Coturnix japonica: one gene and its partners. The protein of the gene in region 3 purifies or fractionates together with the protein of the main gene of each other region. This does not show direct contact. Links are inferred from orthologs where the notes say so. Each region holds a gene or a part of one and is shown on either strand. Other genes may lie near its edges. The genes, in order: RIOK2, RPS7 and TSR1.

Region 1 (3,699 bases), on a different chromosome or scaffold from region 3:
AGTCTATTACACCAATTGTTGACACTGTGCAAATGGCCACCTACCTTCATGTAGGCAAACTCCTTCATTGCTGCTAGCCGGGATAAATACAGCCATGACATTTTATGCCTGTGCTTATGGTAGTCACGTTTATTTTTCAGACTGCGAAAAGAAGTTCTTCCAAGCCTATGCAGTTTCATTGCAAACTGTTGCTCATCTTCATTTGCAACAATATAAATATCTAGAAGAGGAATAGCAACACAGATCTATGAAATAATTGGTATCTGACAAGTCCATAATGAAAAAGTATTTCTGGCATAGCAAGGTCTACCACACTTAGTCCAACAGTAAAGAGAGCTACATTTATGTATTGTCTGTTAGTGACATAAGATGGAAAAAATTTTTGTTGAAGAGATAATGGTTCTCCATTAGTAAAAATACTGATGTTATCTGAAACATCTTTCAGACCAAGAGGTAAAAGTAACTGGCATGAAAAACTGAGACAATTCAAGTTCTCTGACTACAGGATCCAACAATCAGGATAGACTGGTATTTCTCCAGGCCACCTGCACAGTGTGGGACTATAAACTTCCCTAACAAGGAAACACAGTTGTATGTCAAGCTCCTGTGTTCTTAATAACATGCTGGAAAAGCTGCCTACTCTCCACTGACTGGAAGCAAATCCCAAGGGACCAACCTCTTGATTTTAACAACTAGTTCATATTTCATTTCTACCATTTGTCTACAACAACTCTCTTTCTTCAATGATGAGCGAGACAGGCTGTGCCAAATTACAGCCTACGTGAAAGTGAAACCAAGACAGCAATCCAATAGTTTTGATTGTATTTTACGTTATTTTATTTTATGGGTGGAACATAAAAATTGAAGTTACCTTTTTAATAAAATAGTTCAAAATTATTCACAAAGTACGAGACATTTAGCATCTGTCAGCAAATACCTTTTTAAGCGATGAATCAAAATTTGGACAAAATAGTCAAACTGGAACAATGCTCTTACTAATTAAAAGATAAATAAATCAGATGCAGTCAAAAGCCTCATGAAAGGAGCCACAGATCTTGGTGTGTGACAGTTTAATGCTATGACTATCCAGAGATACATTTTCCAAGTTCCTATCAAAATACAAGCAAAAATACTGACATGCTTCCTTCAATAAATAAACAAATAAAAATTACATAGTTTTTTTTAATTACCTGATTCTTTGCCAACACCCATCTGGTTTCCAACAGAACTGATGACTTGCCGGGAAGACAGAGTTTTCAAGGCAAGGTAATCATATCCTGCATTAGTTAACCGATAGCCCTGGACCGCTAAATAAAAACAAATTATAAAACATTTCATTCCTTGTTACGGACACAGTACCTTAAAAAAACAACAACAAAATCCAGTTTTAAGTCTAGTTTCTTGTTCCAGCTTATGGTATAAAACACTCAAGTACTACATTTCCTCTTGGCAAGTATCAGCCAAATTTGATGGAACATTTAAATTCCTGCAACTCTTAGAAAAGCTAACTGTATAAAAGATTAAAAGCCGTATTATCAACTCCTCAATGGCACAAGCAGTTATGATACTCCAAATGGCATAGAAATGGCATTACTTTTGAAGATAATTACCTAGGAGATGTAGTAGGGATTCAGGATTGTTGTGAGGCTCTAAATCAACACTTAAAATGCTGAAGAATGGAGAAAAAAAAAGGGAAGAAATTTCATGCAAACTCAAAAGTGGGATGCAACTACAAGGTTGAAGGAGATGGGCAGGGGCTTGCTACTTGACATGTGGGAAGGACTAAAACTACTTCAGTAACTGTTTCTACTGAGGTGCAGGTGATATGACTGTCTTTTCCAGTTTGTGCACTATGATAAAATCGTAACACGTTTGGGTTGATTTCTGCATGCACCGGAATAATACCTTAACCAACAGGTATTTCATATTTTCATCAATTTTGTAATAGAGCCAAGGAGATTTAACTGCTCTCCTTTCCTCTTTCCTGCCTATGAGCTCTACTGGAATCAGCAGTTGAGCAGACAGCAATATCATTTATTGCTGAACAAATCCAAGCTCCCAGGCTATACCCCACAGAAAATGAGGTTAGCAAGTGGTCCAGATGTCTATGTGTGCCAAGCAATGGTACTACAGCATGAGGAAGGTGAGAGAAGGAGCCCAACACATAAACCAAACTCACTTTTGGTTCGTTCATAAGCCAGGAGCCTGTGTTTCGCCAGCTCTCTCAAAATTTTGTTACAGCCACCATGTTTCAGGCTTGCAATAGAAGCAATCAAGCTGGCAGGAACTATTTCATGGTTCTTCATTCCCATTTCCACCTAAAAGGGCAAATGAAAAACAGGTCTGTTAGCCAGTGTTCAACAGCTGAATAACATCAGATCCTCCTCGAGCCCAAACCACTTCTCTCAGGTGAATAACTTATTTAACTGCTCATGTGTATACAGAATCTGGAAGGGACCCAAGGATCATGTAGTTCCAACCCCCCTGCCTGGCAGGGCCACCAAAACACACGCCTTTACTAGATCAGTTGCCCAGGGCCCCGTCCAACCTGGTCTTGAACACCTCCAAGGACGGGGCATCCACAACCTCCCTGGGCAGCCTGTTCCAGGGCCTAACCACTCCCCTAGTGAAGAACTTCCCCCTAATACACACTATTACCTTCACAGCCGCCAGTCGAGCAGCCTGTGACCAGACGCCCCCCCCCTGCCCCGCTCACCGCGGTGAGGACTCGGAAGTGCTCCCTGGTCAGGTACCGCAGCATCACCACGTTCAGTTTCCCCATGGCGGCTCCTGCTCAGCCCCGTCCGCGCACAACACGACCCACACACCGCTGCGCATGCGCAATCAGATTTCCCCAGCGAAAACGCAATCCCGACTACACGCATGCGCACGAGCCGCCTGAGGCTGTGAGTCAGGGGTGCGCTGAATGCCGCGGGTTCGAATCCCGGGTTCGGCTGTTGGGGTGGGGAAGGGCAGCTTATCCCGTGGGCTGCTTTTGTTGCCCTAAGGAGGACTCGGGCTAAAAGAGATGAAAGCGCATAAAGACACCATTCCTGCCCCGTGCTGGGATCCTAGATTATTTTATCAAGATTTTTAAAAGGCAAAATGACAGAAAAACTGTTTGCTGGGAAGGCTGGAATATTATTTCCCCCCTCCAAACACTCCAAAGGAGAGCAGGCAGTCTAAACTCGTGCTTACTAAACGGGAAATGATGCTACTGCATACGTAGCACTGTTCTGTATTGTATACTACCTTGCAATGATGAGAGCATAGTTTATTCTGTAAAATCAATGACAGATTTGTTGTCCTGCCATTGTTTTTGTAGAAGGACATCAGTGAGTGTGTGATTAAATTATTTCTGCCTTTCAATTTATAACAATGCTTTATAAGAAAGTCTATTAATTGGAATGTGTCTGAGTAAGAAGCAATGGTTTTAAGCTAAAATAGTGTACATTTAGACTAGATATACGTAAGAACTTTTTCACAGTGAGGGTGGTGAAACACTGCAATAGGTTGCCCAGGGAAGTTGTGGCCTTTGGAAGTCAAGTTGGGCAGGGTTTTGAGCAAAGCGATGTAGTGAAAGATGTCCTTACCCACAGCATAGGGGTTGGACTAGATGAACTGGAAGGTTCCCTTCCAACTCAGTCTGTTCTATGATTCTATTAAATAATTGTTGTTGATCAGCTTTTGTTCTGTCCT
Region 2 (3,730 bases), on a different chromosome or scaffold from region 3:
TTTCCGCTGAATTTCTTTTCCAGCTCTCGAACTAGCCGCACCTGAATCTTCTGGAAAGATTTCAGCTGAGGAACTGGTACGAAGATAATGATGGCTTTCCTGCCACCACCTACTTCAATTTCCTGAAAGAGAAGTAGAAACTAAACATCACCTAGGGATTGAGAAGGAACATTCACTTTGATCATCAATACCCTGAATAGGGACATTTGAAATCCTTACTTACAACTTTCTAAGAAATGAGCACCAGGAGGTACCTATTTTAACACATTTATGAACAAGAATTAAACAGAAAAACCTCTGTCAGAGCATTTGTTGTAAGTATATGCATTACAGCAAAACAAGATGAAACTCATGAGTGAGAATCCTAACCATACTGAATGCTTACCATCACACCTGAAACGTTACCCACATGCTGATACCAAGTTTCTAATGCAGACAAAGATTACAGCAATAACTGCTGGGTTTTGAGCAACCACTTCATGGCATCACCTTCTATCCACTATTTACCAAGGCATGCATCACTACTCAAAACACTTCCTCTTCACCTCCAATAAACAGGCTTGCATCATACCTACAGATTATTCTTCTCCTTGTATTTTTTTTCTTCAGCAGTTATTCAAAACGTAAGGAAATTGCAGAAGTTTACAAGGCACTTACCCCTGTGGTTAGGTCCATAGGAGATGCTCATTCTCCAACAGAGCAGAAAGCTGAGTTGTGTTTCACCAGCTATGCTCCCACATAAGTTAATTCAAATGCCCACAAAAGTGTCACCATAAGTAACACCACGTAGCTATAGTAGGCTTAGTAAATTAAAACATTGTTTAAAAACTCACTACAGACAGTGTGCACTGGACTTCAGCAGCAGAACAGATCTTCTGAAGGGCCCCTTCAGTGAAGTGAACTTATATACCAAGCTGACCCCTGCATTCTCACACCCTAACTCAGCTCTGTGATCTTTCTGCCTTTACACCTACATGTATGTCAGTGGGCTTGGGCAAGAACAAAAAAGCACCCTGCTTAACTCTGGCTACAGCAATCAGCCTCAGAAGTCCTATCCAGTCTCCTTGCCTGACAAATTCTATAGATTTTTTTCCTACTCTACGGATTCAGTTGGCTCTACAAACTAAACTTTAAACAAAACCAACCCACATCACATCATCAAGTCAGTCAACTTCAATGACCCACCACTGATCCATTGTTTGTTGTCTAAAACAGCATTTACTATAAGCTAACTCTACCAGAATTATTACTGTTTATGCCCCTGACCAACACGAGATATGTCAAACATACCTACTAAGCAAATATCCACACAAAAAAGCCATTTTCAGACCCCAAGTCCAGGTTGCAGAAACACAAGTTACTCATTCTAAACATGCTTACTTGAATGACAGTTTGACGTTTTAAGTTCTAGTGACTTTTCAAACCGACTCCTAAACAAGAAGCTATTACAGAATGCTCTGCATTGATAGCAAGTATAAGATATACTACAACAGCACATAGTGAAACAACCATAGCACGATAACATCTGCAAAAATGAACAGAGAGCAAGCTGCATAGCAATACTTTGCCAAGAACACCTGGCCTACCTTAGCTGCTGTGATGTTCAACTCCCGCAGCTGAGCCTTTAAGTCAGAGTTCATCTCCAACTCCAGGAGAGCCTAAAAAAAAAGGAAAGTTGCAGAAAAATCCATTCAGTTCAATTCATAAATAACCCTTGAGAATAAAGCACAATCAGTGACGTAGATGTTCTTTCCCTGCAGGCCACGCTGACATATGCAACAACACTCAACTGGTGGGAAACATGATCTAGTGGATGACAACCCTGCCCCTGGCAGGGGGGTGGAACAGAATGGGCTTTAAGGTCCCCTTCAACCCAAGCCATTCTACAACATCCCATAATTCCAAGAACACAAGGCAGACTAACAGGGTAGTAAGAAAAGAAATGCATTTAGAAAGCAGCAGCCTTAAAGTTTAAGCTTTAGAGAGTTGTCAACACACTAATTTGACAACCCGTACAGGGTTACTGAACAACAGAAGGAAAACACACATACCTGGGATATACCAGACTCGAACTCATCTGGCTTTTCACCATTAGGCTTCACAATCTTTGCACTTGAGCTGAACATGGCCTTTCTGCAATGCAAAAGAACGTCTCAATTGCCACTGGGAACGTGTCCACCACTACAAGTAGAGTAACGTGCTGGATTTCAACCACACGCTTTAAAACGAAATCAAGGACAATCTCAGGGGCTGTGCAAACCCCTCACAACACTGCAGGGTAAGCTGACCGCTGCAAGGCCAAAACCTGACGGGTAAGGAGGGACGGGTAGAGCACACTGCGGCACCCGCGTGTGCTCTACGCTCCAGCAAGATCCCAAGAGCGCTCACGGAGCCCACGCGCCAGCAAGTAAGGCGTCCTTCCCGGCACCGAGGATCCGCACCTCAGCCCCAGCCCCAGCCCCCCGCTCCAGCCCCGCGCCCCGCCGCTCCGCCGTCACGGCCTCCTCCAGGGCGCGACCAGAGCAGGGAGGCGGAGAACCCCGCCAGTTTCCTTCCCCAAGATCCAAGAGCCCCGCGACCATCGGGCCTCAGGCAGGCGCTAATCCGAAGCATCCCCCTCCGACGAGGCCCAGGGAGCCGCCGCTGGGCAGCCTGAGCCGTATTGCCCCGGCGGCTGGGGAAAAACAAGCACCGGCAACCAGGCCCCAGAGAGGCCCGAGCTCCTACCTCGCTCAGCGCCGGCCTAGGAAGAGGGAGAGCTCTCGCGAGAGCGCCTCAGATCGCGGCCCGGGAGGCGCTCGCAACGCCCACCGCGAGGTGAAGCCGAAGTAGGAAGTAGGGCAGAGAGAATCGTTCGGAGCAATGCTGATTCTGGATGGCTTCCGGCACCGTGATGCCACAAAGGGCTCTCTCTCCAAGTACTGGCGTGGCGCCTGCTGATGAGGTCATCATCAGCTGCTGGACGGCGAGGAAAGGGGGGAGGCTGGGGATTGGGCTCGGTCACAGGGCGGCCATGGTTGGAAGGGAGCTCAGTCAGCATGCCCCGTCCTTGGAGGTGTTCAAGGCCAGGTTGGACGGGGCCCTGGGCAACCTGATCTAGTAAAGGTGTATGTTTGGTGGCACTGCCAGGCAGGAGGGTTGGAACTACATGATCCTTCTGTGGGAATCAAATGTTGTTTCTGCATTTAGAATAAGATAAGAATATTTTATTTCAAGGTCTCATTATATAAGTAAAGGAATTTGTAGTTATTAGGTAGAAATCACAGCTACAAAGACTGCAGCTCCTGTCTGTCCAGCTGTCTGAAATAGACACTACTGGTTTTTGGTGCTGGACAAATAAGACCTGAGTAATAAAGGATCCAAAGAGGAGAAGTTAAAATAATTAACAATATGCCTGTATAAACTAGCAACAATGTATGTATTAATGTTTTATTGTACAAAAATACAAGTCGTGACATACCTAAGGATGTGCCTGAAGAGATATCGGGAAGGACTGGAATCTTTGTTTAACAAAGGCATCTGGGACAAAATGGAAGAAGCTTTGAAGGGAATCAACATATCAATACGATAAGAGTACCGAGACATCTTGGAAACAGAAACAGCAGGATGGCGACTGACAAGATAGCAAGTGAACTAACAAATTTCAGAATGTAATTAACAAATGCAAACCTCGGGTAAAATTGTAACTTGTAATACCCAACCAAAGGGGAGAGGGGAGGGGAAAACATAT
Region 3 (3,733 bases):
AGCAAAGCCATGATCCCCCACAAACCTGCACATCCATGTCCTGACTCTTCTTTCCTTTAACCACTCTGGGATTCAAAGAGAGAGGGTCAGGTGGGGCATCCACCTGGCTCATCTGGAAGTCTCCATGCCCCACAATATGTACCAAGCTGTTCACATTGAGGGTCTGTCCTCGGACAAAGCCAGACACCTTCAAGGTCCCAACCTGGTCACTCTCCTGACTGGGCACAAATTCAGCAGCATAAGCAAGCAGGTGAGCCCGCCTGTCTCGAAAAGCAAGATGACGCTGCTTCTGGGTAGCAAGGTGCCTCAGCAGCACTGAGGACTCCTGCTCTGTGTTTAGGGGAAAGAGCTTGACTTCTGGAAACCACTTCTCCATAGCTTTGGTGAGTTTCTTCTTGGCATCTATCCGCTTCTTTGGTGGCAGGTCAGTTCCCCCTGGGACAGCAACAGCTAGAAGGGACACAGAACAGATCCCCGTCAGAGCCCAAACCTCTTTATACCCCTTTCATAAAGCATTAACGTTAACTTCAGTGCCTGCAACTCAAATAACCAAAAACCAGACTGACAAGACAAGCTACAAAAGTGGTTTCACCCATTTAAAAAATAATAAATAAAAATCAAGACAGAAAATGTGTCTTTAGACATAAGATTTTAAGACTTAAAGTGACCAAAGAAATAAGGATCTGGGAACTGAACTTAGCAAGAAAATATCTCACTCCCTTTGCTCTGCACAATTGGACAACCAATGCAATACTAGTAACCGCCATATATCTGAGACTTAAACCTAGAACTCCAGCATTGCCCTACCAGGAGAGTCAAATAATATGATAGAATTTATCTGACCTGTTCTCAGAACAGCCCAAAGGCCTATGATTACTTATTAACATACATACAGAGTATCTATTAATTGCAACAATAAGCCCCCCCTCCCCAATCACCCCACTCAACCTGTAGCCCACCAGAAGCTCTGAATTCTCATCTCACCGTAACTAGGCAGCCCCTGAGCAAAAAGGCAGGAGAGACAGTGCTCCCCTGTGCTGTCCCAACCATCCACAGGATCCAAGATAAAAAGGAGGGAGTCGGCAACTTTCGCTAGATCCATGACGGCATGCAGATCCCCTGCAAGCAAAACACCTCAATTAATGGGGCTGCTGGGGGTACAGAACTCAGACCAATTAAAACAGTGCTTCCTCACCTGCCTGCGCCGTCACAAACCTCCAGCGCTGCTTGAGCCGGGGACAGAGGACAGCAAAGCTGCCGGCTTTTCCCTCATCCATATGGACAATGACCGAGTCTTGGCTCTGCAGCAGCCGGAGGGCATCGTGTGCTGCAGCCCTGCTGTGCAGCGGCACCGCCACCACGAGGTGTGGGGGCCCATCCCTGCTGCCCAAGCTCCGCTTTTCTGCCAGCACCTATAAGAAAAGATCCATGGCGTGAAAACCATCCATAGCCCAGCTCCTGTCCCACACCCTAGATCAAGACTGCAACCCCACAGCTCCGCCCTATTGTTACAGTGTGCCTTAAATAATAGGAGCAGTAGTCATGCTAAGGCTCGTAGTTAGGCCTAGTCTGTGTTTCTCACGTATCTAGGAATGCAAGTTGTGTTTCTTATGAACCCGAGCACGGATCTAAGTAATAAATCTTGCTTAGGAACAAAGCACAATGTATGTTAAAAATCAGGTTTAGATGAGAGAAAATGAATAGAAAACAGAAAGGGGGCCTCTAACAGGAACATCCAGTAACGTCACAGATCGAAGGAGGAGAAGAATGTACAGCACATTTCCTTAGGTCTTTGTGGGATAGTCTTACCTAATTGTAACCAAGGAAACATAACAAAAGAGGACGAAGCAATCCTGAAGAAAATGTATATAAACCTTGTGATTTCACAGAATCACAGAATGAGCCGGGTTGGAAGGGACCTCAAGGATCATGTAGTTCCAACCCCCTGCCTGGCAGGGCCACCAAACATACACCTTTACTAGATCAGGTTGCCCAGGGCCCCGTCCAACCTGGCCTTGAACACCTCCAAGGACGGGGCATCCACAACTTCCCTGTGCAGCCTGTTCCAGGGCCTCACCACTCTCCTAGTGAAGAACTTCCCCCTGACATCCAACCTAAATCTTCCCTCTTTTAACTTAAAACCATTTCCCCGTGTCCTGCTATTATCAGCCTATTCGAAGAGTTTACTCCCCTCCTGGTTATAGGTTCCCTTCAGGTATTGAAAGGCTGCAATGAGGTCACCCCACAACCTTCTCTTCCCCAGGCTGAACAAACCCAACTCCCTCAGCCTGTCCTCATAGGGGAGGTGCTCCAGCCCCTGATCATCTTCCTGTCCCTCCTCTGGACCCTTTCCCAAATCTCCATGTCTGTTTTGTACTGAGGGCTCCACACCTGGACACAGTACAACAGATGGGGCCTCACAAGAGCCGAGTAGAGATGGACGATCAGCTCCCTGTCCCTGCTGACCACCCCTCTCTCAGGTCCAACAGCTCCCCCCCATGCCACCCCCCCATGCCCGGACCCCTCACCTCCTCCTTGCGTTTCCTGCGGAGCTGCAGCGCCTGGTGCCGCCTGTCCACCCTGCTCAGATCGCGGCGCCGTCGGTGCGGCAGGGCCTTGACAGCGACTCGGCCTGTGGAAAGATGGCGGTCAGGTGGCGATAAGGACAATGGGGACCCGGTGTAGTGAGGCTCCGGGCCGCCCCCTCCTCACCTCCCGCCCGGCGCTGTGCCGTCCCGTGGTGCTTCCCGCCCTTATGGGCCTTGTTTTGTTGTTTTAAAGGACCGGCCCGGTGCGCGCCGGCCGCCACCATGCTGCCTTCACGCTGCCACCACTTCCGCTCGTGCGTCTTGCGTCACTTCCGGCGACGTGCGTGGGAGCGTAGGCGGGAAAGCGGAGATCGTATTCAAGATGGCGGCCGAAAGGGAAAGGCCTCACAGTATGGCGGAGCTCCTGCCGTGCTCCCGAGGGGGAAATGACAGGCAGGACGCCCAGCCGTTCCTTCAGCGCTTAATTGAGTTCTTTATACAGATATTTACACAGGAAAGTCCCATCAGGAGAGCCGGGTCTGAGAAGGAGGAGCCCAAAGCCAGGAGGCCCAAAGCCAGGCCTAGGGCTGCTCCATACACACACTGGGCAGCATCACCGTGCTCCCATTGCAGCCCTGTGTGCTATAGGCAGCACTATGCACTGACCGGCACAGCCGAGGCTCTGCCATACCCACCATCTCTTTAAGAACCACGACTGCCCTTGCTATTGGAAGCATTAGGCCCACACCGCCCCCCAGAACACCAGCAGGTAAGCCATTAAAGGTTAAATATTTACACTAGTGTTGCAATTGCCAGGAATGAAGTCAGTAAGTCGAGGGAAGCAGAGCAGCTGTTGCTCTGTTGTGCACTGAATGATTGCAAAGGGGGAGAAAAGAAATGAGCCGTGACCCTCCCCAGCACTGTGTTATCACCTTCTTTTCTCCTGCAAAGAAAGCAGCACAACGGTTTGTGAGGGAGGGTCAACCAAGAGCTGCTCTCTACCAATCCTTACCTACTCCTAAAACAAGCTGTCTAGACCTTCTAACTGTAAAAGCAACGTAGATCACGTCCTACATGACAGGAAAGAAGTAACAAAATTAAGAGACCGGTGACAAATAAACACTGTTTAAGCATTAGGAATTAATTCTCCCTATACAGGTGTTTGTTAGCTGCTGGGCAGCACACAGTCTCTTCCACTGTTTGAC

What was found.
Region 1: the proteins of TSR1 (region 3) and RIOK2 fractionate together in Homo sapiens (co-fractionation; 3 studies listed by BioGRID and IntAct, with this or other methods). This does not show direct contact. The link is inferred for Coturnix japonica from reciprocal best matches to the Homo sapiens genes TSR1 and RIOK2.
Region 2: the proteins of TSR1 (region 3) and RPS7 purify together in Homo sapiens (co-immunoprecipitation; 4 studies listed by BioGRID and IntAct, with this or other methods). This does not show direct contact. The link is inferred for Coturnix japonica from reciprocal best matches to the Homo sapiens genes TSR1 and RPS7.

What each region holds. Positions count from the first base shown.
Region 1 is NC_029547.1:45,706,323-45,710,021, reverse strand, and holds the start of RIOK2 (serine/threonine-protein kinase RIO2), read right to left. Parts: upstream 2,847-3,699; 5' UTR 2,783-2,846; coding exon 2,717-2,782; intron 2,319-2,716; coding exon 2,180-2,318; intron 1,308-2,179; coding exon 1,191-1,307; intron 221-1,190; coding exon 45-220; intron 1-44. UniProt on the Homo sapiens protein: Serine/threonine-protein kinase involved in the final steps of cytoplasmic maturation of the 40S ribosomal subunit. Involved in export of the 40S pre-ribosome particles (pre-40S) from the nucleus to the cytoplasm.
Region 2 is NC_029518.1:85,526,571-85,530,300, reverse strand, and holds the start of RPS7 (40S ribosomal protein S7), read right to left. Parts: upstream 2,881-3,730; 5' UTR 2,728-2,880; intron 2,134-2,727; 5' UTR 2,127-2,133; coding exon 2,052-2,126; intron 1,659-2,051; coding exon 1,587-1,658; intron 123-1,586; coding exon 1-122.
Region 3 is NC_029534.1:4,414,391-4,418,123, forward strand, and holds the start of TSR1 (pre-rRNA-processing protein TSR1 homolog), read right to left. Parts: upstream 2,867-3,733; 5' UTR 2,813-2,866; coding exon 2,713-2,812; intron 2,633-2,712; coding exon 2,529-2,632; intron 1,413-2,528; coding exon 1,196-1,412; intron 1,120-1,195; coding exon 985-1,119; intron 451-984; coding exon 26-450; intron 1-25. UniProt on the Homo sapiens protein: Required during maturation of the 40S ribosomal subunit in the nucleolus.